Linked DNA regions of Kluyveromyces lactis. The protein of the gene in region 2 binds, or shares a complex with, the protein of the main gene of each other region. Links are inferred from orthologs where the notes say so. Each region holds a gene or a part of one and is shown on either strand. Other genes may lie near its edges.

The links. Proteins that work in one complex are often made in the same cells at the same time.
Region 1: SET1 (region 2) and SWD2 share a complex: the UniProt entries of both Saccharomyces cerevisiae proteins name them as parts of the set1C/COMPASS complex. The link is inferred for Kluyveromyces lactis from reciprocal best matches to the Saccharomyces cerevisiae genes SET1 and SWD2.
Region 3: the proteins of SET1 (region 2) and SPP1 are in contact, whole or in part, in a cryo-EM structure (PDB 6BX3), measured with the Saccharomyces cerevisiae proteins. The link is inferred for Kluyveromyces lactis from reciprocal best matches to the Saccharomyces cerevisiae genes SET1 and SPP1. Residues at the interface, in NP_011987.1 of Saccharomyces cerevisiae: Ile800, Trp801, Gln802, Ser803, Arg804, Arg805, Leu808, Glu810, Glu811; in NP_015187.1 of Saccharomyces cerevisiae: Asp134, Ala136, Val137, Val166, Asp169, Asp170, Gln177, Ile178, Val180, Leu185, Thr187, Tyr345, Ile348, Leu349.
Region 4: SET1 (region 2) and SHG1 share a complex: the UniProt entries of both Saccharomyces cerevisiae proteins name them as parts of the set1C/COMPASS complex. The link is inferred for Kluyveromyces lactis from reciprocal best matches to the Saccharomyces cerevisiae genes SET1 and SHG1.

The regions. Positions count from the first base shown.
Region 1 is NC_006041.1:1,604,243-1,609,851, reverse strand, and holds SWD2 (WD-repeat containing protein SWD2), read right to left. Parts: upstream 1,482-5,609; coding exon 501-1,481; downstream 1-500. Other genes in the region: ATP-dependent 5'-3' DNA helicase HCS1, read left to right, coding at 1-519; MCO12 (Mco12p), read left to right, coding at 1,750-1,755, 1,872-2,123; MND2 (Mnd2p), read left to right, coding at 2,442-3,257; tyrosine protein phosphatase YVH1, read right to left, coding at 3,350-4,417; RAM2 (bifunctional protein farnesyltransferase/protein geranylgeranyltransferase), read right to left, coding at 4,719-5,609. UniProt on the Saccharomyces cerevisiae protein: The COMPASS (Set1C) complex specifically mono-, di- and trimethylates histone H3 to form H3K4me1/2/3, which subsequently plays a role in telomere length maintenance and transcription elongation regulation. Involved in mediating RNA polymerase II termination.
Region 2 is NC_006042.1:2,241,534-2,251,347, reverse strand, and holds SET1 (histone methyltransferase SET1), read right to left. Parts: upstream 3,088-9,814; coding exon 85-3,087; downstream 1-84. Other genes in the region: ORC6 (origin recognition complex subunit 6), read left to right, coding at 3,432-4,682; NMA111 (Nma111p), read left to right, coding at 4,942-7,899; MRP35 (mitochondrial 54S ribosomal protein bL35m), read right to left, coding at 8,122-8,409; protein channel TOM70, read right to left, coding at 9,080-9,814. UniProt on the Saccharomyces cerevisiae protein: Catalytic component of the COMPASS (Set1C) complex that specifically mono-, di- and trimethylates histone H3 to form H3K4me1/2/3.
Region 3 is NC_006040.1:615,646-621,158, reverse strand, and holds SPP1 (Spp1p), read right to left. Parts: upstream 1,530-5,513; coding exon 501-1,529; downstream 1-500. Other genes in the region: KLLA0_D07282g (uncharacterized protein), read right to left, coding at 1-44; MCP1 (Mcp1p), read left to right, coding at 1,873-2,724; HER1 (Her1p), read right to left, coding at 2,873-5,513. UniProt on the Saccharomyces cerevisiae protein: Component of the Set1C/COMPASS complex that specifically mono-, di- and trimethylates histone H3 to form H3K4me1/2/3, which subsequently plays a role in telomere length maintenance and transcription elongation regulation.
Region 4 is NC_006042.1:193,497-198,585, reverse strand, and holds SHG1 (Shg1p), read right to left. Parts: upstream 888-5,089; coding exon 501-887; downstream 1-500. Other genes in the region: POP4 (RNase P/RNase MRP complex subunit), read left to right, coding at 1-454; KLLA0_F02167g (uncharacterized protein), read left to right, coding at 1,141-3,024; cullin RTT101, read left to right, coding at 3,191-5,089. UniProt on the Saccharomyces cerevisiae protein: The COMPASS (Set1C) complex specifically mono-, di- and trimethylates histone H3 to form H3K4me1/2/3, which subsequently plays a role in telomere length maintenance and transcription elongation regulation.

The DNA of each region.
Region 1 (5,609 bases), on a different chromosome or scaffold from region 2:
TGGTTAGATACTGAGGGAGACGACTTTCCAGAAAGGTCTGATGAAAATGACAACGATGCAGACGATAAGTTCCACCTAGTCTCTTCAAAATACAACGAAAATGAAGCATATTTGGCATTATACCACGTTGAGCAGTTGATAAAGGCTGGTGTTACGGAAGAAAGTATTGGTGTGATCTCCCCGTATAATTCACAAGTATCGCTGTTGAAAAAACTCATCCATGAAAAGCATCAAGCAATTGAGATATCTACCGTAGACGGATTTCAAGGTAGAGAAAAGGAGTGCATCATCCTATCTTTAGTAAGAAGTAACGAGAATTTCGAGGTTGGGTTCTTGAAAGATGAAAGAAGATTAAATGTCGCGATGACCAGACCTAAAAGGCAGCTTTGTGTCATCGGTAACATGGAAATGTTATCGAGATGTCGAGTGCCATTCCTAAATAGATGGGTGCTCTGGGTAGAGTCTGGCTTCGAAGTCATATATCCAGATCCCAGTATAATTCATTCGTTATATACGTAGAAATCTACAGTTTCATCTGCAGTGACAAACATGCTATATTTAGGATTGAATGCAATAGTTCTGGGACATGTATTTGGTGCGGCGTTAATAAATCCTTGAGGTTTGAGCGTCCTACCACTGATGAAGTCTGCGTGGTTCCATATCGCGATCTTCCCAGTGTAATCAGTTCCCAATGTAATGCGTCCATCTGGAGTGAACGTTGCGGATCCAGAATCCATGAACTCTCTCAATGGGAAAGGTTTAGTTCCTGATAATTCAAATAACTGTGTACCATCGAAGGAATCCATGATCAAATGTTTTCCAGCGGACGACGCAAGCAACAAATATTTACCATCGTTTGAAAACTCCAATTTATTCCACTGATCAAAGCTTGGATCCACATTTATAACTAAAAATGGGCCCGCCTTCAAATGTTTTACGTTATATAAACCGACTTCATGGTTCTCAGGGTTACCAATGGCGAACACAAGCCCGCTTGGATCGTAAGCAATGCATGTGGGGACTAAACTTGGTATAAGGGCCTGTGCCTTGGAGCTTCTCAAATCCCAAAGTCTTACCGATTCGTCATACGATGCAGACAAAAAAGTATCATCCAACGGGGACATTTGTATATCGCTCACTAGAGCACCATGGCCCTGGAAATATCTAAGGTATGTGTTTGTTTCAAGATTCAAATGCCTTATGTCAAACGATTTCATAGTGGATGAATAGATACATTCTGATTGCGCATGTGTAAACTTTGCGGAATGACATCCGTATTTTTTAGAAGCGATGGTATTCAAAAACCTGCAACTTACTGCATCATATAGATGCATATTATCACTAGCAGTTGCAGTCAACAAGTACTGGCCATGGTCATCAAATGTCACTGAAGTTATAGGTCCCAATTCTTTATCAGAAACTCTGAAGGACTTCACAGGCTCAAATCGTAGAAGATTGCTCTTGGAAATGCTAACAGTCATATTTCCTTTCTCAGCTAACTTTTAGATAATCACAGAACTGTTGCTAAACCGCTGGTGTCCCGTTGAGCTTCTCTTTTTGTCTCCAAATTGGTAATATTTCTTGATGGTGTTAACAGTTTTATTTAAATTTAAATGTTCCTCGAAATTGTAATGACATCTGTCAAAGAAATCAATAGTGTTAGTCACTTGCAGGTAGAGAAATAGAGCCTTTCTGGTCTTACTCTGGCTTTATAAAGAACTGACATATTTGAGATTTGTAATAAGAATCATGGGTGTACGTACCGTTCATTTTTTTGAAGAAGGTGGTTAGATACACCACCGTTTTCATCAACGGACTTTGATTTACTAACTAAAAGGTAATCTTAACTGCATTTATCAAATTCCAATCAGGTTAAAGATATAGTTCATTACAGTATTGACTTAGCGTTGTTGTCTATGGTATTGGCTGGATTGCGTAGAAGTAACAATTATGTTGTCGCTTATGAAATGTCTGACTTGAAGAATTATATTAAACGGTATCTTGACTGGGGAGAATACTTATTCGATAAGTTGGCTAACATGGCTGAAAGAAGTGCTTATTTTAGGAAACAGACTCCTTTTGACAAGTTCTTGGATCATATGGAAAGAAAGCGTAACCTGTAGTTACACCAATAACGTTTATTCAAACATACATACTAATATATAATATTCAGTTCTTTTTAGTGTCTTCTATCAATTCATATCAAATATAAGATAACTGGAGTGAATGCCATCAAGACGCCGGCGTTTAACTACTGGTAATTGGTGAGTAGTACAGCTCTCCTTATTTTTGTTGATGCTTTTTCTATTTCTTTTAAAATAAAACCTTTAAATCATGATTTACTTGTGTCCTGTTAAACACCACTGTGTCAATGGCAATAACAGACATTAAGAGGCTGTTCACAAAATATTTTTGGAGACAGTAGGCTTTACAAGTAAGATATGGGGCTTGGAGAGTTTATGTATGGCCTTGATGCCTTCAGACAACCTTCTGCACCATCCGATTTCAATAACATTCCTTTGATAAACAATCTACGAAAAGAGCTTCTGCAAAGCAAGACAAGCAGAAAAGGGAAACCGGTGAGTTGGAACATTGATAAAGATACCAAGAGACGGATCAAGCCTGGGAAGAGATTGATTCCTCTTGCGGCGTATACTTGCCATAGTGAGAAACCTTTAATTGCCAATAATGACGGAGATGTGTCTGATTCCAATACCATTAACATTCTAGATAAATCGACACTATTGCTGATAAGATCTCTTGGCTACTCAAGTTTGCGACCTATTGGCATTGATAAAACCCTAAAAGAGATCGAAAAGGAGAAGGGAAGTAAACAGAACAAGCAACAAAATGAACACAATTCAGGGCAAGAACCAATACTTAATGCCTACCAAACTTCCTCTTCATTTATTGTGTCAAATCATAATCATCAACATACAGAACAATCGGTACTGCTGACAGCACAAGTTGGTGAACAATCTGAAGAAGAGTACGATCAAAGTTATGATTACGATAACGAGTATGCGGAAGTTCACGAACAAGGATCTATGCTCGACAGAACGAGAGGTACGTTTGTTGAGGATTCACAATTAATTGATACAAGTTATACCAACCGGTCAAGATCCAGGCATTCAAATGTGGATGCACTGCCATTTGTAAATGAAAATGAGGATTCGGTCCATGAACAGCCATCGTTGACCATATCTGATACTCTAGACTCCGGTGCTCAAGGTTCACGAGTATCTAGCCTCACCTAAATGCCTATTAAAGAAGAATGACATGTATTAAACAAATAAAATAAAAAATGCTAACCTTTATGAATGATATTTATGCGAGTACTGAGAGACCATTATTCTTCAAACGATACTAAATTAGGTAGGTCTTTCCTAGTTAATGCTATTTGTTCGACTTTAGCTGTTTGGATATGGATTGCCGGAATCATCCATTTACCACAACTGCATCTAGAACCTTTCCAATTGTAACCTCCGATCTTGCTATCACAGTTCGGACAGAAAAATTTACCTTCAAGCTCTTGCTTTTGTAATTCTTTCTTCATCCATTCCAAAGGCTCCACGAAATAGTGCGAACAACGGTCTTGTGATTGTTGAATATCAATAATTCTTCTAGATCCTGCGGCCCTCCTAATGAAATGACCTTCCATTGATTCCTTACTTGGAGGATCATGCTTAATGAAAGAAGTGGAAAATGCAAGTCTAAACCTACATTTTTTGCAACGGATCGCAGAAACATCTTCTACTTCCTCTTTCGATAACTTAGCTACCTTTTCAGCTTCAACTTCTTCAGACTTATACATTTCATTTTGAGCCATGATATTGGCTCCCAAGGGATCAGTTTTAATGGAATTCTGTAATTTCCATTGTTTATAGTCTTTATTCTCGACATCCACTATATTCGAACCCATGGCTTCATACAGCTTCAGTTGCTCCATAAAGTTCTCATTTGGTTCAGCTACGCTCCGTTTCCTCTTCACTGCATGTAAAGCTGTCTTCAAATTGAACCCGTATCTGTACATTAAATACGCTACTGCAAACGTAACAGATCTGGATACACCTGCTTGGCAGTGTATATATATGGCACCCTTTTGGGGCTTCTTTTTGAAATCAACCTTCACTCGGTCAAGCTCTATCTCATCGGGAAACAGGCATGAATCGATGTATCTATTCGTTTCATTGAAATACTGCAACACATCTGTACTCAAATTATCGTCAATAGGAATATTCTTCAAAGTATAACTCTTCCTGACCAAGTATTCTGGAATGATCTCAAATTTGATCACTGATAGGATGTGAGTGATCTGATAATTCACTTTCAGTGGAACATGGTTCGCAATTGGTTGAATACCACCAACATAGATCCCACCTAGTACTCTTGTAATATCAGATTCAGTATTCGCCATTGCAGATGATTGTAGCTGATTATTTATGAATACTTGCCGGTACTAATATCTCTCTCTGAGGCGATTCCCGTCCACTCATTAAACTTTACCTCGTCTCATCTCATCGCTTCTTCTTCTTTAATCTTTTTGGCCTTGGAACAATTTTTTTCCAGTCTAGTTGAGGGAAAGAAACGTGATTTGTGTCAGTGAAGGTAGAGATGATATGATACTTCTGTAGTACCGACGGGTAGGATAGCCAAGTGAGCTTGGATGTGGGAGCCCTTTGCGCGACAAGGCATCCTTGTATGTTAATAATACAATCCTATATAGTTAATTGTCTGATTTTTAAATTCCAGTAGTTTTTCCTTATAGGATCCCAAGTGTCTGCTAATGCCTGATATGCGATCTTGGACTTTTCCGAGTCTGTTTGAGAATATACATCAGCTAGGAGCTCCAATGCGAAAGAAGACTTAACATGGGAGATTGGTCTTTCTTCTTGGTCGGTATATGTCTCCAAGGCGTTATCTATGAAGGACGAAGCAAAATTAATCAACTTGGAATCGTATTCGTTATTCTTGAATGACTTATAAATAAAACGTAGATGGTTCCAGGGGCTTACGTTTTGTGGAGCCAACAATATCTTATCCATACAGTATTGAATTTCCACCTCTGCTACTCCTTCCTCTTGAACATGATCGACGTTCTTCAAATAAAAAGCTCTATGGGTCCAGGCGCTGTTGTTATACACGTCTCTATCGATGTACTTGTTCACAAAGTCGAGTTCATGGGACCAATCTTTGAAGAATTGGACGGACCATTTGCGGTACGACCATACATGGTAATTTTTTGTATCGTCATCGATCATCACGTCTAGTATAGGAAGGTCTCGCACTAATTTGGGGGATGGATGTTCTGAGAGTAGCGCTTGTCTGTACGACCAAATCTGGTAGTTTTTCGGGTTATTTAAGGTGAACTCATCGAGCCAATCCAATTCTTTCTCCCATGCGGATACATCTTCTTTCCGGAACAAGGACATGCAAATCTCGAATCTGTAGTTCCATGCGGTGTATAACGCTGGTACAGTCTCAATCACCGCGGCAGTTACTGCCATTGCTCTTTCAGATAATTCATTTTGTTGTAATAATGCAACGAATAATGATACGAGTTCCTTGTATTGGTCTGTGTATAGGATGGCACATAGTTCATTTTCCAA
Region 2 (9,814 bases):
AAAAAAAGAATTCCCGTGAGAAAATGAATGTTATAAACTATGTAGCGTTTGCAATTTATAGAAAAGAAATGCATGAAAAGGAAATCAATTGAGGAACCCTTTGCAAGATGGTGCACCACAGAGACATGGTAATCTTTCACCTTCATCAGTTTCCCTTTCAAACTTATAATCGTACGTTAGTTCTTCATTGGTACCAATATCACGTAACGCGTAAATGACGATCCTCTTTCGGCCATCGACTTTGATGATTTTTGCCGTACAACTAGGTTCACAACAGTGATTAATAAACCTAGCGATACCACCCCTCTTTGTAGCATCTATAACTGTATTTTCATCAATTCTGAATAAATAACTTGAACCAATTCCAGACTTGATATATCTCTTCTCTCTCATTTCAGCGACCGGTTGTCTAATTGATTCGCCAACATACTCAATAATCATTTCCTTGGCTGCTATAGGTTCCAATGCATATAGGCCCCAATTGTGAATTGCAGATCTTGCAAAAGTGACGGGTTTCTTTCTTTTCGTTAATTGGTTTAATGATAATAGGTCAGATTCAAAGCCAATTGCAGCTCTTTGCGCTTCTATATCTTGCTGGAAACGTCTTTGGAAAACTCTGTTCAAACGTGAGGATGCATTATGGTTATCTTGCTCTAAGTCAGCCTCTTGATTTGTTGATTCTGTTCCATTCAAAGCCATGAAATTCTGTTCTTGATGATTATGAACAGTGTTCAAAGGTTGCGCCAACCTCCGATGATGAAGAAGGTATGAAGATTTCAGTTTATCAGGAATTTTCTTAAAGCCATCAGCAATAAAACTACCAGTCGTTGAAGCTAACGTTGAATCAAATTCTTTTTCATTCAAAGCTATTTGGTTATCCCGAATAATTCCATTTTGTTCAATCTGTTGGTATAACTTCCACATTGAGTACGGCAAAAATGGTGTATAATCAGTAGTAATATCTTTTGATTTTTCTGAGACAATGCCCTTGAGAATAGAGAAATCTTCTTCGTCTTTCAAAGCAAGCTGGAACTTATCGAGAGAAAGCTGCTTGGATTTATTCAAGTCAAAGTCATCATAAGGATATACTGGGGTTGGGAATTCTGATGCAATAGGTTTGTATTTCCCTTCATACTGTAGTAATTCCTTGGACCTTTCATCAGGTAAAGATGCAGCGCTTTCGGGCAGGTCTTCCTCCGGTGTTGTTATCACGGAAGACTGTTTCTTCGACTCATCTGAAATAATATCTTCCGATTCATATCCAGATGACTCCGGAGAGTTTTCACCGTTTGAGCCAACATTGAGTGAATCCACTGTATCTTCTCTGGTAGAAATTTCATCATTTAACAAATGCGACATATGTTCCACCTTAGGTTTCTTTTTACGTTGATGATCAGGAGATTCTTCAGTGTATAAATGACGTTTGCCTAGATCAGCTTTCCTATCTCTTTTCAGCTTTTTTGTTTTAGACGCAGGTCCGTATAGACTGAAAATATCAAATTCTGCGGGTTTGGCCTTTATCGTTGTCTTCTTTTGTGATTCCTCACGCTTCTTCTTCTCATCGTCCAGTTTCTTCTGCCTTTCTACAACTTCCGGGTAGTTAGCAGGATTTAGCGTATCAAATATAATTGGACCTACAAGCCTTCTCAAGATATCACGCTTAATGATATTATGCAAATCTTTGAGAATTTGTTTTGTGGAGGCTTCTAATAGCTCTTCCGTGCTTGAGTACTCTATCTTTCGAGGTTTATTGATATCTCTTTGGTTAGTGATATTTGATTGAAGTCTCCTCTTTGGTTCAATGAAAGTAAATTCTATTTGTATGGGAGAGTGAGTCCTATGCGAATTTATGACCAAGGCACCTGATTCGTACTCTAAACATGCTTTTGCATTTTCCAGATCATGAAAAACAATATATACGCCAGTGTAGTGATCAATAATTTTGGCCCAATTGTACTTACGAAGTTGATATCTGAAATCTGCTGCATTGAACCTATGATAAAACGTAATCTTTGCAGGAACAAACAAAACTGGTCTGTTGTTCACAACTTGAGTTAAATCGTATGGCACTCCTCTTATTACTTGAGGTTTCTGCCCGGATGATTTCTCTGCAATGGCCCGTTTCGCTTTATTCACTTCTGTCACTCTGGCTGCGTTCTGTTTGATTAGTTTGTCCTTTATTGAATTTAACACTGTATTTTGGTTTAAAATGACATTGAACTTGATACCTGATACTGTGTAAGGTGCGTCTTTGAATTTCTCTGATGCCTTATAAGCAGCTTTATATGGAGCATCAGGTTGAGAAACTGGACCAGTGAATTTTATTAGATAGACGTACAATGGCAATGCACTATTTGGATCCATGAACTGTTCAAAATGCGCTATTTCACCAAATGATTTAAAGTAGTTTTTGATTATTGCTTCAGATAATGCGGCTGCTATTGGTTGTTGGTTAGATGCAGAAGGGTATACTATGATTTCTTTTGGAGGTTCAGGACCAATGTAGAAAGAATCATACGGAATTCGCGAGTTGCGTACCAATGCACTTCTAAGCTTTCTATATCTCTTTTTCGCAGAAATGGACCCAGAGACCGCATCCCCATTCATAGGACGTATTCTCGGATCCACCGAAGTTTGTTCAGGCTGCCTGGCCATGAGTATTGGTTTTTGCTTATCCGATGCAATCAACTCCGTTGTTGTCACATATCCATGCTCAGGAATCTTCTCAGATTTCCATTTCTTGAAGCTGGATTCATTTCGTAGTCGTTTACTTACAATGTCGTAATAATGATATTTTGTATTAAACTCATCGCGATCGTATTTCGCACTCACTACTGGACGCGTTGCGAAGGGATTACGAGGAATCTCGCTGATACCACGCGACTGCGACCGTATTGGACGAGATTCGTTCTCATTATTCCTAAGTTGAGACCCAAACCCCTCGCGGGAGTATCTTCGGTTCCCTGATCCATTCCGTTGGAAGCCCTTGTACCTATTCCCATTTTCTTGATATGCATATCGTCCGGTTTGGTACCGATCATTATTCCCATGAAAATGAGAGTACTGTCTATTATAGTACCCACTCATGAGAACTAAAATATACACACACGCTGGAATAGCAACTTATGCTAGATGAAATACTAGAAGTATTGCCAAAACTGAACTTATAGATGGAGAAGCGAATAATGATACTTTTGATTAATATTCAATTTCATTATTTACCATATTTTGTTTCAATATTGGAGAAAATCGAGAAAATCAGAAAAAGATCAAAAAGCTACATAAAGACTGTTTTTAATATTATGTTAAAAATGGTCCATGGAGATGAGATGAGATATATGTCTTTTCCGGGCCAGTGTAATACAACAAGTGAGTAGATGATCCTATTTTAGTCACTTTAGAGTGCTAAGAATCCGTGGAAATAATTTAAGATGTCTACGCAGCAAGTACGAACGTGTGTAACCGATTTATTAGGGGTCAAAAATGATTCTAATGTTGACTGGCAAGACCAACGGTTAAAGAAAGTGGCTTCTACTACAGCAACATTATACAACGTTTCAGTATCGAAAGTGATGCTGAAGAATTCAGAGGAACTTGCTCGGTGCCATATATGTGCACTGATTGCGTTTCAGAAACTAGCTGAGAAGTATGACAATGACCTACCATATTCTCAGGAGAAGATCCCGCTTCCACCAGACCAAGTATCCAAACTTGTGAATATATTTAAGAGAAACATATGGCCTCATTCGCCGCAAAAGGATACCGAAGGACAATTGCTGAAGTTTGATGATACTGCATCACCATCGGTTAGAAAGTCAGCGGTTAAAAATGCAAGATTCACAGGGATAGATCCGAAGTCGTTACAAGAACAGCTATTCCAGACTCCGTCGAAATCAAGAACTAAAAGTGGTATCCAGCCCTTGAAGAATGTTGATCTTTCACCTAGCAAAGGGAGTAGGTCAAGTGTCCGGAGGAAATTAGTGTTTGAAGCTGATACAGAAAATGGCCTTCCGTTGCCCATATTAGCAACCCCGAAGAATAAGACTGATATGATCAATATACCACAAGTGTTTGGATCAGTTGAGGATGATCCTGAATCTCCATTAAGACAGTCACCCTTTCGTGACTCCCCTTCTAAATACACGCCTTCACCAAGAAAGAAAAGAGGTAAGTATAACGAATGGAACATGCTATACAAAAAATACTATAGACCGTCTACCGCTGAACTGGTGACTCTGTGCAATGAATTTGAACTTCCTGAAGAAGTAACAGCTACCATAATTTCCGAATTCAATAACAACGCTACTTACCTAGCGTATCCTACACAGTTGGTTTGTGGTCTGGTACTTCTTTGCTCGTTCGTTGTCTTCAACCAACAGAGAAATCAGGACAGTACAATCGATAACAAGCTAATGAAGAAGATGGCGGCACAAATGAGAACAACAAATGATGAAGATATCATGGAAGCTATCAAGATCACAAAAGAACTAATAGACGGTGAGAAATGGTACCGAGAACTCCGTGTCAAGTTCGATTATTACGATGGATCGGATTTCGATAACGCTATCGCCGTCAGAATAGGCAGCATGTTACAAGACGAATATGAAGTCGTATCAGAAGAGCAATACTCAAACTGGAAACGAAGAATTATGGTCGACCTCAGTCTAAGAGATGGCACATGAATGGTTTCCTCCGATACCTTTCTTCTCACCGTCCCCATCTTCGCATTTATCATTCAATACGTTTTCATTACCTTTCTAATGAATTTTTCACGTTGACGTTTACCGAAGGGAACGGCAAGATGAAAAAAAAGAAGATAACTAAACATAGAGAGCGCAGATGAGATGAATTGAAGAGAGACATTACCGTCTGTCAGAACTCTGGAGATCGGATTACTCTTCGAATAATCAACTGCGAAGTACGTACCGAGTAACTGGTGAAATGACTGTTGAGTTGAAGCGAAACCTACTCGAATCATCTGTTGAAGACATTGATCTTGAATCCAAGAAACAGAGGGTCGACAATGACGTCGATCAGAACACAAGTAGTGTAGACGAAGATATTGATTATGAAGAAGACTATGATGAAGTGAACGATGTACCTATAGATTCAGGCAACTCTTTATTCAATAACAACGCTAAATGGCAAGAAACTATCTCCAAAGTTGTTAAGTCGGTGGTCTCAATTCATTTCTCGCAAGTCGCACCTTTCGATTCAGAAGCTGCCTTGGTGTCGGAAGCAACAGGTTTCATTGTTGATGCAAAACTCGGTATCATCTTAACAAACAGACACGTTGTGGGTCCAGGTCCATTCATCGGATACGCCATTTTCGACAATCACGAAGAGTGTGATGTCATCCCTATCTATCGCGACCCAGTTCATGATTTTGGGTTCTTGAAGTTTGATCCATCGAAGTTGAAATATATCGAGGTCACTGCACTAGAGTTGAAACCATCTTTGGCCAAGGTTGGTTCTGAAATCCGTGTTGTTGGTAACGATGCTGGTGAAAAATTGAGTATCTTGTCAGGGTTCATCAGTAGACTTGACAGAAATGCACCAGACTATGGTGAGCTAACGTATAATGATTTTAATACTGAATATATTCAAGCTGCTGCTGCTGCATCAGGTGGTTCTTCTGGTTCTCCAGTTATTACTGTAGAGGGGTATGCGGTCGCTTTACAGGCCGGTGGCTCTTCGGAGGCTTCTACAGATTTCTTTTTGCCTCTTGATCGAGTCGTCAGAGCTCTACAATGCGTACAAACGGATAAACCAATCACCAGAGGTACTATCCAAACTCAGTGGGTATTGAAACCATTCGATGAATGTAGAAGACTTGGATTAAGTGAAGATCGTGAGAAGGAAGCTCGTAAGAGGTTCCCGGGTAAAACTGGTTTGCTGGTGGCTGAGGCTATTCTCAGAGAGGGACCAGCTTATAATAAAGTTCAAGAGGGTGACACATTAATTTCTATTAATGGCACACCAATATGTTCATTTATTCAAGTTGATAACATTCTAGATAGCAGTGTAGGAGATGAGATAATCATTGTGGTTCAAAGGGGTTCCAAAGATATTTCCTTCAGATGCACTGTTGGTGACCTGCATATTATTACTCCTTCACGTTATGTCGAGGTGTGTGGTGCTAATTTCCATGAGCTTTCGTACCAAATGGCTAGATGCTATGCGTTACCTGTAAAAGGCGTTTTCGTGGCAAGTGCCACTGGATCGTTCGATTTGGATCCAAAGGAGAAAACTGGATGGGTTATTGATTTTGTAGATAATAAAGAAACACCAACTCTAGACGACTTTATAGAAGTCATGAAAACAATTCCTGACGAAAAAAGAGTAATCGTGAAATTCCATAACTTGACAGATGTTCAAACACAAAGAATAACCAGTGTTTATATTGACCGTCATTGGTGCAGTGAGTTCCGAATCTATACTAGAAATGACAAAACAGGTATTTGGGATTATGAAAAGATCACTGAGAAATTACCACCACTTCCAATAAAACCACAGAAAGCTAAGATTTTAGATCTACCGATTAATGATAATAAAAAACTTGCAAAAATGTCACATAGTCTATGTGTTGTACATTCGGTTATTGCTATCACCATGGACTCCATGGAACCCGAACCCACAAACGGATGTGGTTTAGTACTCGATGCTGAGAAGGGATATGTTATTGTTTCACGTAGTTTTGTTCCTCATGACTGTTTGAACACGTTTGTCTCGTTCGCTGAATCCATTCTTGTACCTGCTAAAGTTGTATTCTTACATCCTACCCAAAATTACGCTATTGTTCAATATGATCCATCTTTAGTTGACGCCCCAGTATGCACACCAGTGCTAGCTAATGAAAGGCTTGAAAGAGGAGACGAAACTAATTTCATTGGTTACATGTACTCAAACACTTTAATCAGTTCCAAGACTAAAGTCAATGGCATCTCTTCTCTGAGTGTTCCTAACGACATCATTCCTAGGTATAGAGCAACCAATCTAGAAGTCATCTCCATTGATTCGAATATAAGCACCAAATGTAAATCAGGAATATTAGCGGCAGATGATGGTACAGTGAGAGCAATCTGGTTATCCTGCATGGGTAACAAGGAAAAACTGTATTTAATGGGTTTAGACGTAGTGGATATCAAAGAAGTTGTAGATATTCTCAGGGCTGGTAAGAATCCTAAGGTTTCTATTGTGGACGCAGGATTTGATTCCATCTCATTATTGCAGGCTAGAATCAGAGGTGTTCCTGAAGAATGGATTAAGATGATGGAAGAAGAATCAGAAAACAGATTACAATTCATCAGTGTCACCAGAAACTCCTATACAACAATAAAGGAAAGGCTCGAGCCTGGTGATATTATCTTATCAGTTAATGGGAAACTGGTAAAAAGAATGAGGGATATTGGTGGTGTCGTGGGGACTGATGACGATACGGATATCGAATCTGAGTTGTTATTCAAGGTTGTAAGAGATGCGAAGGTTATCGATTTGAAAATAAAAACTGTACAAATTGAAGAAACCACTAGAATTGTCGTATTCGCAGGTTGCGTACTACAAGCTCCTCATCATGCCGTGCGTCAAGTAAAAACGTCTATTCCTAGTGAAGTATATGCGGTTTCTCGTGGTACATCTTCTTTGGCGTTACAGTACGGAATAGAAGTGACCAACTTTATCACACACGTCAATGACCAATCAACACCTGATTTGGATACATTCTTGAAGGTTGTTAAAGAAATCCCAGATAATACATACTGCAAGTTACGCTTAATGACATTTGACGATGTTCCGTTTGCCATTTCCTTAAAGACAAACTATCACTACTTCCCAACGGTAGAATTAAGAAAGAATCCAAAAACAGGTAGTTGGATCGAGAATGATATCTCGGAGACTTAATTTGACTATATATATGATTAATCATTTTTTACCGTTGTTTGCAAATTGTATATAGGTATTTATTAATGATAATTATCCATTATAGTAACCCGCTGATTTTTCATGACATGCTTTACTGAAAATCATGGTAAGAAATGGTGTGTCATTCATTATGGGGATGCCATTGTTATATGTACAGGATTGAAATCGAAACGATATCTTATTTTAATTGCCTTTCATCTCTTAATGGTATGGAAGCAATCTCTTTAAACGATGCATATGTGTGGAGTCTGCTAATGACCTGCCAGATAATGATTTAAGGGAGTTCCTACTCCATCCAGCATTACCATGATTTCTTCCAGCCTTGCCCCTCTTGAAGCTATTGGCTGTTTTTCTCCATCTTTTTGCGGCACCTTTGTGTGTTTTCATCAAGTTTCTGGTGAGGATGAGCGATGAAACATTAGTTTTAGATCCCAGAAGTCCAGTTCTAGCGGAAAAGTTCATCATCGAACCAAAGATAGAAGATAGCATATTTGAAGTAGTTCGCTGGTGGGGTAAATCCTGCTATAGTCCGTTAACAATGAAGTACTTGAATTGTAGCTCACTTTCACTCAGTACCTTGCCATAATCTCACAAGAAACTTTTATTACATACACTTCTTTCAGAGAAAACAAAAAATGTCATTTATGTTGAAACGTATGTAGTGATATACTATCGAAGTGTTTAAAATTACAATTTGATTAAATTGTGAGATGGGGGAGATACATGTATATACAGAAAGACGTATTTGTTTCTAGCAAAATGGTAGAAGATGATGTTTTTGAACCAGGGGTATTTAGGAGCACATATTTTGCAATGAGCTGTTATTGAAAAGCGTTGTTCTCGTATTCTTGTTCTTCTGTGTTTCTTTTTGTCTTGTTTTTGTGAAGAATTGATAACTATTTCTTATTCTTCACGTTGTAATGTTGAGATCTTGTCGTTTACGATTAACACAGTTCACGCTGCTTACGAGTCATAAATAACTTGGGTGAAATGCTACAACTTTTTGTTTGTAAAATCATAACTTTCTTGGTAATTCATTCGTTTAGATGTTGCATGGTATGTTGCCATTATGGTCATTAAGGTGAGACAAAAACAATGAGCTATTGTAGCTTTACTCATATTGAAATGAATTAAATTCATTCGTGAATATCATGCTAATTTACGCGAGACCTTGAGCACGGTAGGCTGCAATAGCTTCGTCGATCTTACCCTTAATGAATGGATCAGCTCTGATCTTTTTCTGGACCTTGGTAGCCTCAGCGAAAGTAGTAGCTTGTAGTTTTTCATCGAAAGATCTTGAGAGATCGGCAGCATCTTCGAACAATTGAATGGCATCATCAATTTCTTCTTGTTGCAATTTTAGTTGAGCAAGACCGATCTTGGCTTGTTCGGATCTTGGATCGATCTTACAAGCTTCTTCAAATAATTCGGAAGCTTCAACGAAGTTTTCAACGGTTGGGTTTCTAATCAAAGCAGTGGCCTTACCAATCATTGGAGCAATACCGACGTGAATACCTGGTAAAGCATCTTCCAACTTGATGGCAATATCGTATTGCTTGATGGCAGCATCTAGAGAGTTCTTAGCAGCCAAAATTTCGGCATAAAAGTTTGGAACTTCTGGAGCAGTTGGGAACTTTCTTCTGGCTTCGCTGAACAAAGTTTCACAATCATCAAATCTATCGTCACGGAAAGCCAAGCAAGCACATTGGATGTAGGCAAAAATGTTTTCTGGATTTAATTCCTTAGCCTTATCGAAATCGGCACCAGCTTCTTTGAAGTTTTCAACAACAAAATGCATTTGACCGCGATGATAGTAAACAGCAGAGCAGTTTGGATCTAATTCTAAAGCTTTGTCAAAGTATTCCTTGTATTGGTTGGCTTCACCCTTGTCAGC
Region 3 (5,513 bases), on a different chromosome or scaffold from region 2:
AACTCTTCGTTCTTAACCTTGTTTGTTCTGATATCTGTTGCCATATTTTGTTTGTAAGTTTATGTGTTTAAAAGCTTCCTCCAAACGCTTACCACAAAACCAATATCTTTGAAACTTACAGCGAGAGAATAGAGGTTCCTAATAGGAGATACAATTATAAGGTATGTCTGCTATCTTTTGTCCTGCCCCTTTATATTTCGTAAAACAACCAGACCTTAATGGTGATATTGAGCTCATTGGTTTTTCATTTTTATATTGTTTTCTCATAGAATGAATAACATGGTAAGTGACTTTAACTATGTGACGATTAGATGAATTAGGTTTACGATAGGATAAAGCTTATATACGTTCAATTATTGGACTAGAAGCATATGAAAAACCTGATGTTTGTATTAGGTTAAATTATTTATACATGCTTTTCTTGCTAGTTGATGCTACAAGTTAAATATAAGCGTTTCGCCTTCATTGTAATGACAGAAAAGTGACACATTAGATATGAGCTAGGTCTTAACACCGGGTAGGACGCGATTGGACATCTCTTGTTCGAAGAATGAGATTCTCAATTGGTTCGTTCTGACGCTAATTAGTAAATCGAGTCTTCTTTTGACGTTTTCTAGAGAGTCCTTCTGTTCCGAGAGATCGTTTTGGGACAATGTAATCCAATCCTGATGCTTAGCACATTTTGTCTTTACACAAACACCGTCAACTGATGTGATATTACTGTTTTCGTCTTCTTTCAACTGAAGTAGCTTATCTAAAAACTCCTCAACTGACCGAGGGATCGTGAACTCATTATGGTAGCCGCATATTGTAACTTTACTTGCACTTTTCGACTTCTTTCGACCTGTAGGCTGATTGAAATGTGGGGATAATCTCTCGTTAACTTCACCGATCCAGTTGACGTATTTCTCTATTACTGCATCTTCTTCATTTAGTTTTGAAAGCTTGACCGAAACCAACTCATCGTGTTCGTTAATTAATTTGTTTAAATGCTGATCATTTTCTAGCAACTTGGAATATTGATCTTTGGATAAAGGTGACGTGACTTCTGGAAGCTTGTCTCGTCCTAGCGTTTTAAATTCCTCCAATGATGTTGTCTCGTTTAGAAGCTGTCTCAACAATGCAATCTTATCTACGCCAGGTAGATTTAACTTATCAACAATGCTTTGAACGTATTGAACAGCATGTTTCTTTGAACAATATTTGCTTCTTGAATTGGCATCACACTCTGTATAGCATTCAGGGAGCCTGCATTTCCTCTTCCAAAGAGTTTTCGGTAGTTTGCCGCCATTTATCAATGCCGGTCCTGTAATTCCAGCACTACAATACGAACAGTAGAATGAAAAAACGAGATCTCTATATTTCTCGGGGATCTTTAAACAGGAAAAATGAAACCAATCATCACATCCATCACATCCTACCATCAACTCCCCAGTGTCTGGTTTCTTACATATACAATAAACTTCTTCCCCAGTTTTTGGGTCGTGTTTCCTGCTGTCATACCTGGGGCACCAACTAGGTAATGACATCGTGAATACTGTAAATTCAATCCTATACTGGAGTTATCTTATGATGATAAATATCTAGGCAGAAAAAATGAAGTATATTCTTTGTAATATTCAAATGCAACCATTCATGTACCCTTCACAGGCCATATTTGTGTTATTTCTCTGTTTATTTTACCTTCATCGATTCGTGTAATGGTTTTTACATTTTAATATTCCTTTTCTGATGCAATGTGTAAAGATGGAATGTAATGAATAAGCCAACATCAAATTAAGAAACAGATATACCAAGATTCTCAGAAATATCACTTGCCCTTTGAGTATATGAACAAGTGCGTGATTCGCTGACTTATAATTGATAAACTTCATGACTGCTGCGAAATTGACACCGTTGAAGCCCATTCCGACCAAACACATCGACCCCGATTTAGCAAAAACCCCCGAGGATGCCAGCGTCAATTTAGTGTTGAATATTAAGAAATGGCTAAGGTGGACGCAAAAATGGTCTTTATTCCCTCTAGTAACGTACTTTCCGTTACACGGTATCAATGCCCTAATAATTCCTGCTCTTGAGCCCTCCTCTTTTCCAAACGATGCTTTAATGATGGTTAGAGAACTCACATCTGGACTTGGATCTAAGTTGATTTGGACTGGGATATCAATACATATATTATCCGGATTTGCCTTGAGAATAATGAGGAAGCTGCCTACTTCTTCGAAAACACATAATGCCGAATCCTTGCTGGATACTCAGTCACTTGCACAATCTAGAATTGGTCTTGTAGGTGGTTTAAGTGGGTACTTTATTGGGATCAAGAGAAACCTTCAATATAATCCACAAGAGCTTACAGGATGGTTGTTAACTCCAGTATTATTCTTTCATGGTGCCCTCATGAAATGGCTGCCAAATACGGCGAAAGTTGATATAGACTTTGATTTTGTCAAATGGCTACTAGATAAAGACAGAGGTGCTTTGGTGAGGATAGGTCTCGGATATGGCCCCTTGGTTGCTCTTATTGGTTTAGGATCGTATCATATTATCGCTGGAACCGTTCAATATATGCATGTCCGTAGTCTAAAGACTCGTAAAAGAATAATGAACTTCATATTGCTGCTTATTTGTACCGGATATATTGGAATAAGCAGATTGGGATCAGAGATCGTATTCGGAATGGACAAATATTATAGACCAATCCTAAGAACATTGTCATTATCATGAAAATGTATGCTTTACTTCCTGCCAGTGATACACCGTTCATCGTTAATTTTATTCACCATGGCGCTTGTTTTGGTCTTCCTGTACCTAGTTTTATTTATTGTGTGTGTGGCACGTCCATATGTACTTTTGTTTATGCAAAAATATTTATTTATCCTCTGTTAGAACGAACACGACTCAAATTGTTCAACAACTTGTCATATGTCTCGTCAACGTTGAGTTGTTCGGTGGTGGTTTCATCTTCGACATAACTATCTTCACTTTCAGATGGGAATCCATTTTCCTGCGCGGAGTGTCTCTCATCATGACTCACGTTCCCGTCCGGTCTTCCTCCAGGTGATAAAACTAATGGCTTTGCATCAGCAGGTGGTTCAACTTGGATACCATAAATATTATCCAACTTGACTTGTTGACAATTAACATTATCAATCAAGTCTTCAATGGAATTGATACCTTTCGCTTTGATGATAGCCTCACGAAGTTCCGTACCAGATGGAATCTTCCCAATGAGCTTTGCAGATGCCGCGGATTTAGACAGAGCAGGAATGGAATTTGAAGAAGTTGGAGGGGTAGATGCAGTCGGTGTAGCTGCAGGCTGCCCGGTTTTCTGTGAAGTCTGCACTTGTTCTCGTGGTTTTTCAACGATTTGTGACAATTGTGGTTCCTTCCTTTGTGCATGCTTATGCTGTTGCTGTTGTTGATACTTAGACATAGGCGTGTTTTCTGGGTATATGGATCGCTGTTGTTGAACGAAGAACCCCCATTTGTGCAATTCACCTTCTTCCTCTTCTTGCTTTTTACCGAAAATAGAACGTTGAGAACTTGTCTTCGTTAAGATCGGCCTACCTGTAGTCACATCAATGGTCCTACCAGAATCAGTAGCCATCAGATGGGGTTTAGCACTGTTCGAATCTTGCTCGTGTTCTAGCTCTTGATCAATGTCCTGGTCAATAGGATCGACAAGTGGTTTCGCATACATTATTCTTTCGGAGTCAACATGCTTCAGTACTGGTCTCTCATCACTAGAAGAATAATTATCATCATCTTTATTCTTGGCATAATTTAATTCCTGGATATACGGATTAGTGGACAAGTATTCTAGGATATTTCCTAAGGTATTTTCCATGAAAATAAGTCTTAATAAATTTTCTTTGCTCTGTAATGACAATTCTTTTGAAATTCTTTGTTCGAACATGCTGTCTATGGTTTTTTGAACATTGGCATGAATCGTGTGGATTTTTTCCCAATAACGCTTGAGTAAATACCTTTTCGTCGAATCTTCTTGAAGCTTAGCAGAGTCATTGAGCTTATCTAAAATATTACCGGCTGTTTCACTGATTAGTTCACCATCGAAAAGTAAATCGTCCTGCGATGAAAGTTCGTCCAATTGCCAATTAGAGTCAATTGACTTCTGCGCGTTTCTAACTAATGCTATTGCTATTCTTGAATTGATTTCCTCTGGAATGTTCTCGTAGTTGAAGTCCAAGTTAATCAACTTATCGCTATTCTTGATACAATCATATAGAAATACAGCTGCACTCATTGCCCATGATTCTTGTGGTTGGTTCATCATTGAAACATGTAAAAGCTCTTTACACTTGGGTAAAATCTGTGTTACAAGAGAAATGTCCTTATAGGTCCATTCATTAGAATCAAAATGTAATCTTTTTAGAGAAGGGAAACGCGGTAGATATTTGTTCAAATAAGGAAAGATTGCAGGGAATAATGAAGGCAATCCCGATAGATCTAAGAAATAAAGTTTCGGTAATTTTGATAGTTCCCTTATAATCAATGCAGCCTCTTGCACCGATTGAATGTTTGTTGAATTCAATGTGAAGTATTGTAATGAGTCGAAGCTGCGTTGCGAAAGCTCTTTGATAATTGGTTTTGTCAAATTTTCGAAGTCATTAAATGCCAAATCAACACCGATGATATCATTTTCAGACATCCATCTAAATAGAATTTCTAACTGTTCTGAGGAAGCTATCTGAGATTGAGCGAGACCCAACTTACGTTTCCTTGAAAATTCGTTCTTAGTTGAGGAAAACGCGTTTATCATATTTTCGAAAGTGTGCAAGTTATTGGCAAAAGAAACACCATTGAGGAGTAGCTCTTCTAGTGGTTTACCTTGTCTCTTGTGCAAGACATCAATGAATAAAGACCAATCCATTTGAGACCTGTGTAATTTAAGATCTAGATCATGTCTGATTTTGGTCTGCGAGATGTCTAATTTCGTCAATGATTTATTTCTCATCAAGAATTTACACAATAGTTTCCATCCACGCTCATCGAAAACAACATTTCTCATCGATAGTCTTTCAAGGGTGATGCTTTTAACTAATGAAGATATGACTATCTTAAACATTTCAGGACTTAGGCCGACGTTATCAAAGACAACGTTGTGGATAGGGACAATAGCAATAAAATCAGAGAAGGACAATATATCAATAAGAGTGGGCCTTGGGTTCAAAAACTTTAATGTTTGCAAAGGTGCCTTTTTCTCCTTTAATTGTCTCAAGGTAGAAGGAATCGGAAGAATTTCACGCAAATGGCAGCATCTGGTGTAGACAACATCTAACATCAACTCATTGCCATTCTCATCCTGTGTACCGCTAGTCGAAGATGGATTGGCTCCATGCTCGGAGCCAGTTCCATTACTAGAACCCGAAGATTCTTTGAAATGATGTTCATGCATATGTATAGGTTTATCAATCTCCAAAGACTTAATCTTTTCATCTGCCACAACCCCCGCTTCAGCATTTGCTTCATCGTCGGTGGCTGCTCCAGATTTT
Region 4 (5,089 bases), about 2.1 Mb from region 2:
GCAACTGCCGAATTTTGAAACTTTCTCCTCCATGTTCGAAGATATATGGTGTCCATACATGAAAGAATTGTTGAACATCCCAGATAATCACAAAGTTGGAAATCCATTACCTTTGAACTCTCAGCAAACTTTGATCAAGCTCTCTATGGCTGATTATAACGGGTGTAAGTTGAAGGTATCTAAATCCAAAAACAAGTCATTAACTGGGAAAAATGGTATTGTAATATGGGATGCTCAAAAGACATTCATAATCATAACGAAAGGCGGATTAGTCGATGAATTGAAAAGCATACCGAAGAAAGGAACAACTTTCGATTTCGAGATTCCAATCAATGAAGAAGAATCTTTAGCCTATACAATTCTTGGTGATAGATTTAAATATAGAAGTGTTGATAGAGCCGGTAGAAAATTTAAGAGTCGCCGTTGCGATGACCTATTATATTACATTAGTTAACGAAGTAAAATATATATGTAGCAGCCTTGCTACTTTATCTGTTCAATCAACTATCATTAGTTTTGGCTTCAAGGATAGTTCTTATCTTTTGTCTCGTCGTCGCATCGTCAAGTGAATCACTCAGAAGCTTCTCCACATCGATATTTGACGTGTTTAAACTCTTGAATCCGTCTTTAAATAATTGGCCCTCAAGAAGAGCAGTCGTGGTACCTCTGTTCTTGAAAATTAAAGACTCATCTTCATTTACCCTATCACGAACTAAATCCCTTACTCGGCTCTTTATGAATTCGTCCAAGCTAATATCACCCTCTACATTTTGAGATAGTATTTCATTCTTTAAACTGTCTAAATGACCCTCCTTCTTAAAAGTTTCCGCCAAATATTTGGCAGGATCTAAAGACTCTTCTTTCAAATCGTTACCATTACTATTCATGCCGTGTACTACCCTTAGGTGATTGTGAAACCATCAATACCAGACCAAGGTAGCAATTTCTTACACTGAATTGCAAAGAAAAGGTCTGCAAAATCGCCAAAATTTCCAGTTTTTTGGCCAAGACAAGATAGTTCAATAGTCAAACCTCCATTCAAGATGCACTTCAACAAAGAAGTGGCAGGAGCAATAGAGCTTCTTGTTATACGTTGAGCCCTGTGTATGACACCTGAAAGATATGAACTATTAACTTCCCATGAATATTCGAAACGGAAAAGAGCTAACATGGTTCACCTACGGTAATTTAGTGAATAAATCAGAGGATGAGTTAAAAGATGTGAATAAACGACTTACACGATGGATTGACCAACTAAGGTACTCGGATGCTAATGGATTGGACGACAATAAGAACCGTTTACTCGATGTCACAAGAGGTTTCTTACAAAGCTTTGACAATGAAATGCAGCATATGACTAACACTATTGAAAGTCCATTGACTATTGGGAGCTTGGCAAAACACATCCTAACAATAAAACTTCAACTAAGGAAAATACAGCCTCTTTTCTTACCTTTAGAGCGAGCACTACACAAACTCGGGTTAAATATACGACATTACTCACTTCTCGTACAATGGCTGGTCACCATTGTTGGATATAAATTATATTCTGAGTTGAACGATCTAATTAGAAGAGGGTTTGAAATTGAGGTTGAGACAAGATCCATATCGAATGACCAGTTTTATGAGGTTTGCAAGTTATTTTCAGACTTAGGATTTGATTCACATTATCATCATTTTTTGGATCCGATATCCCTACCTAAGAACAACGATGTTAATCCACGATTTATCTTATCTATTCTCGAGGGCTTGGTATTAACCTTCAAAACCCAATTGCAAGTACAGTCAGATATTAAGGACTTTGAAGCGGAAGCTTATACCTTCATGAATTATTTGCACAACGTGACTCTCCAAATATATCCCGAAGAAGTTTTTGCAGTGACTCGTGCCGGTTTTTTTGCTGTATTTGCTGACGTTGATTTCTACAAAGCTTCGATCTCACAGAAACTCGGTTCATCACAACCGCTCAATTCTCAGCGTATCAGCTATAATATATGTGGTTTACAAAGTGTTTTGACCGAAAAGGATATACTATCTGCTAACCTCGAAATTACTACGAAGTGGGTACAAGATTTGACTGAGGTTGGGCCTAATTACCACCGCCTCTTGATCCGAATGATGGATTTCATTCTTCAACAGCGCAAGCCTATAATGAGCCGCCAATACGCATTTGAATTGGACTCTAAAAATACTATTAAATTCATGAGACTGATGGTGAAACACATTCTTACTTATTTTCCAGGCACTACCAACATTGGAGATGTGTTGGGTAAAAAAGCATACAACATGACTGAAAAAGAAAGAAGATGGCTAACGAAAATAGGAGTATTCTTGAAGAACACTCGACAATTTCAACCATTTTCTGCTTCGTATTTTGAGCAATACGTTATAAAAGAAATCATTCGAGATAATCTAACCATAGATCTAGTCAAATCTATTTTAGTTGGCAAGAAACTAGAACTTGACGCTCCCCTCGCTCGCTTTTACATAGTAATGCAGCAGGATGCTGGGACACTAAATAATATTAACAGGATGTTCAGTCATTTGTCATTAAAGATAACGAGAAACAATAGGAAGAACGATATCATCTTACCAGCAAAAATATTTCCTAATATTTACTCAGAAAATTCGGCAAAACTTCCTTTTAATCTGCCAGGAAAATGGGTTAACAAACACGAACCACGGATTACAAGTGATGGTATTAATGTACACTTTTATGATCAACCGCATCTACATAGAGTCATCATGAAACCTACAATTTTTCAAAAAACCAACATATCCATAAACTTCAATTTATGTCATGCTGTCATTCTTGATACATTGTTCAATAAAAAACTAAGCTGGTCGCTAGATGAAATGATTAGTGCTCTTTCCGTTCGCAACCAAGCAATGTTCAGCCATTATTTATCATCCTTAGTCAAGCACGGACTCTTGATCAGGAAAGAAGATGGCATATTTGCACTTAATCTTGGATTCAAACCTAACAGTAAACTTCTGGTGAATAATATTTTCACAATACCATGAGCTCAGTATACCAAAACTTCTACTGTTACGTCATTGGCTGCTAGTTACGTAGCCAACACAATGTACTTCCTTTACCTGGCACGTGACTCGTATGTCTTTTTGATATAGTATTGGGCAAGTACGTAGGATCATATAACACTTAGTATTTCAATTGTTATGGGACAGTATGTATCGCATAAAGGTTCCACCCTCAACGTACAGTCAATGTGACATGCCGTTATTGGTTCCCGAACGAATCAAAAGCTCAAAAGTTCTGTACGATTCTCTGTTATCTGAGCTCGAACTGCTGCTTAGACAATATCAAATCCCAGGAGATGACCTTAAACACGATGAAAAGATATATTTCACTTTGCAAAAATTGATTAGATGTAAAGTACCGAGGCTTGCTAAGGCTTCCAGTAATTCAAGTCAATATGCTGCTGTCTTTAAGGACACGTTTGTTGAAGATCTCTGGTCACTTCTTAGCAAATTGATAAATGAACAGGTGGACGAGGAAGATTTCACGAATATAGAATGGTTAACAAACTTATGTGAGTTAGAAGATGCTTACAAAAAGATACAGGGCAAGGTGAACTCTTTGCAATATTACACCAAGGCTTTTCTCCGGAACCTTCCAAATAGTTTGGAAAATATCTCCTGCCGATCATTAGAAGGCTACGCAACGTTAGTCTTTTTCTCAAGAATAGCAAATCGATTGCACTCGCAACTACGACAAACTATCGAATCGTTTATAGTCGAAGCGTTAGAATCACGTACAACATCCCAGTTCAGTTTGGTCAAGAACATTATCAGGTACGATATTCCAATTGATAAATCGTCAGTGTTGGGGCTTTTTGAAGAAACCACTAATCGCATAATTAACTCCTTTACTTATAGTTCTGACCACTTCAAAAGAGTCGACAGTCTTCAAAAACAAATCATATACTACTGTTCCGAATATCAAATATTATGTCAAAATTTAAGCATCAATACTGTGGATATTCTTTTATTGAAGTTTAAATACTTCGAGGATTTCTTCGATAGATGTATGGATGATCAAATGACGATAATAACAATAATAGAAGAGCTAGGGGATATGATATATGCCTATTACCCGTGGCGAGGTGAGGAATATGATAACTTCGTAGTACGAGTTATATGTAAAATGCTTGACGAAGACTATTTGTCGTCCTTCATCTCCACCTATTCCATGTCAAGCGAATCTTTTGATTCTAATCGAAAGGCAATAATGAAGAATATGATTACATTGACTTTTAATGCAGACATAAAGAATATTGAAAAAGTTGACAGATGGTTGTGTAAGGTTTCTGAGGAAGGGCAATTTTCTGGGATTAAAGATCTGGTTAGATCATGCTGCATTTTTATGAACGACATCTTTCCGCCAGACTCAAAACAAGACGAGTTACTATGGAACATATATAAGAGAAAATATTTTCTACGGTCGGTACTAAAGTCATTGGGGGGTTCCGAGCAGCTGATTAAAACAAACGAGAGATTCGACCAACAGCTACTTTGCTGTGGGCTGTTGAAGTCAGTTCACATTCTTGAACTCCAGCAGCTAAACGACGAACTAATTGAATCATTGAGAATGAAGAGAGCTCCAAAGATAACTCCTGTCATTCTTAAACAATCTAACATCTCGGACTCGTTGGATTCATCCGAAATTTCAGGACTCATACTACCGGAACCATTAAATGGTATGGTGAATAAACAATGGGAGTACTACAAGGTTTTAGATAGGAATGATCACAAAACAATGTCACTCCAGTGTCAGCTAAATCTTCTGGAATTGAAAAGCCCCTTTAGACATGGAATTTCTTCTGAAATAGTGATACTTCACGTTAACCTACTTCAAGCATCAATATTTCACTTATTTAATAACAGTGCTCGTCTTTCACTTGAACAAATAAAAAACACTTTGACAGAAACAAAGCACAATATACCTCAGATTGACAGCAATATGGAAATGTTTTTACAAATGAACATGTTTAAAAAGGATTCTGAGGACTGTTTTTATCTGAATACTAAATACAAACCCAAAAAGGAAGCTCTTAATGATGGTAAA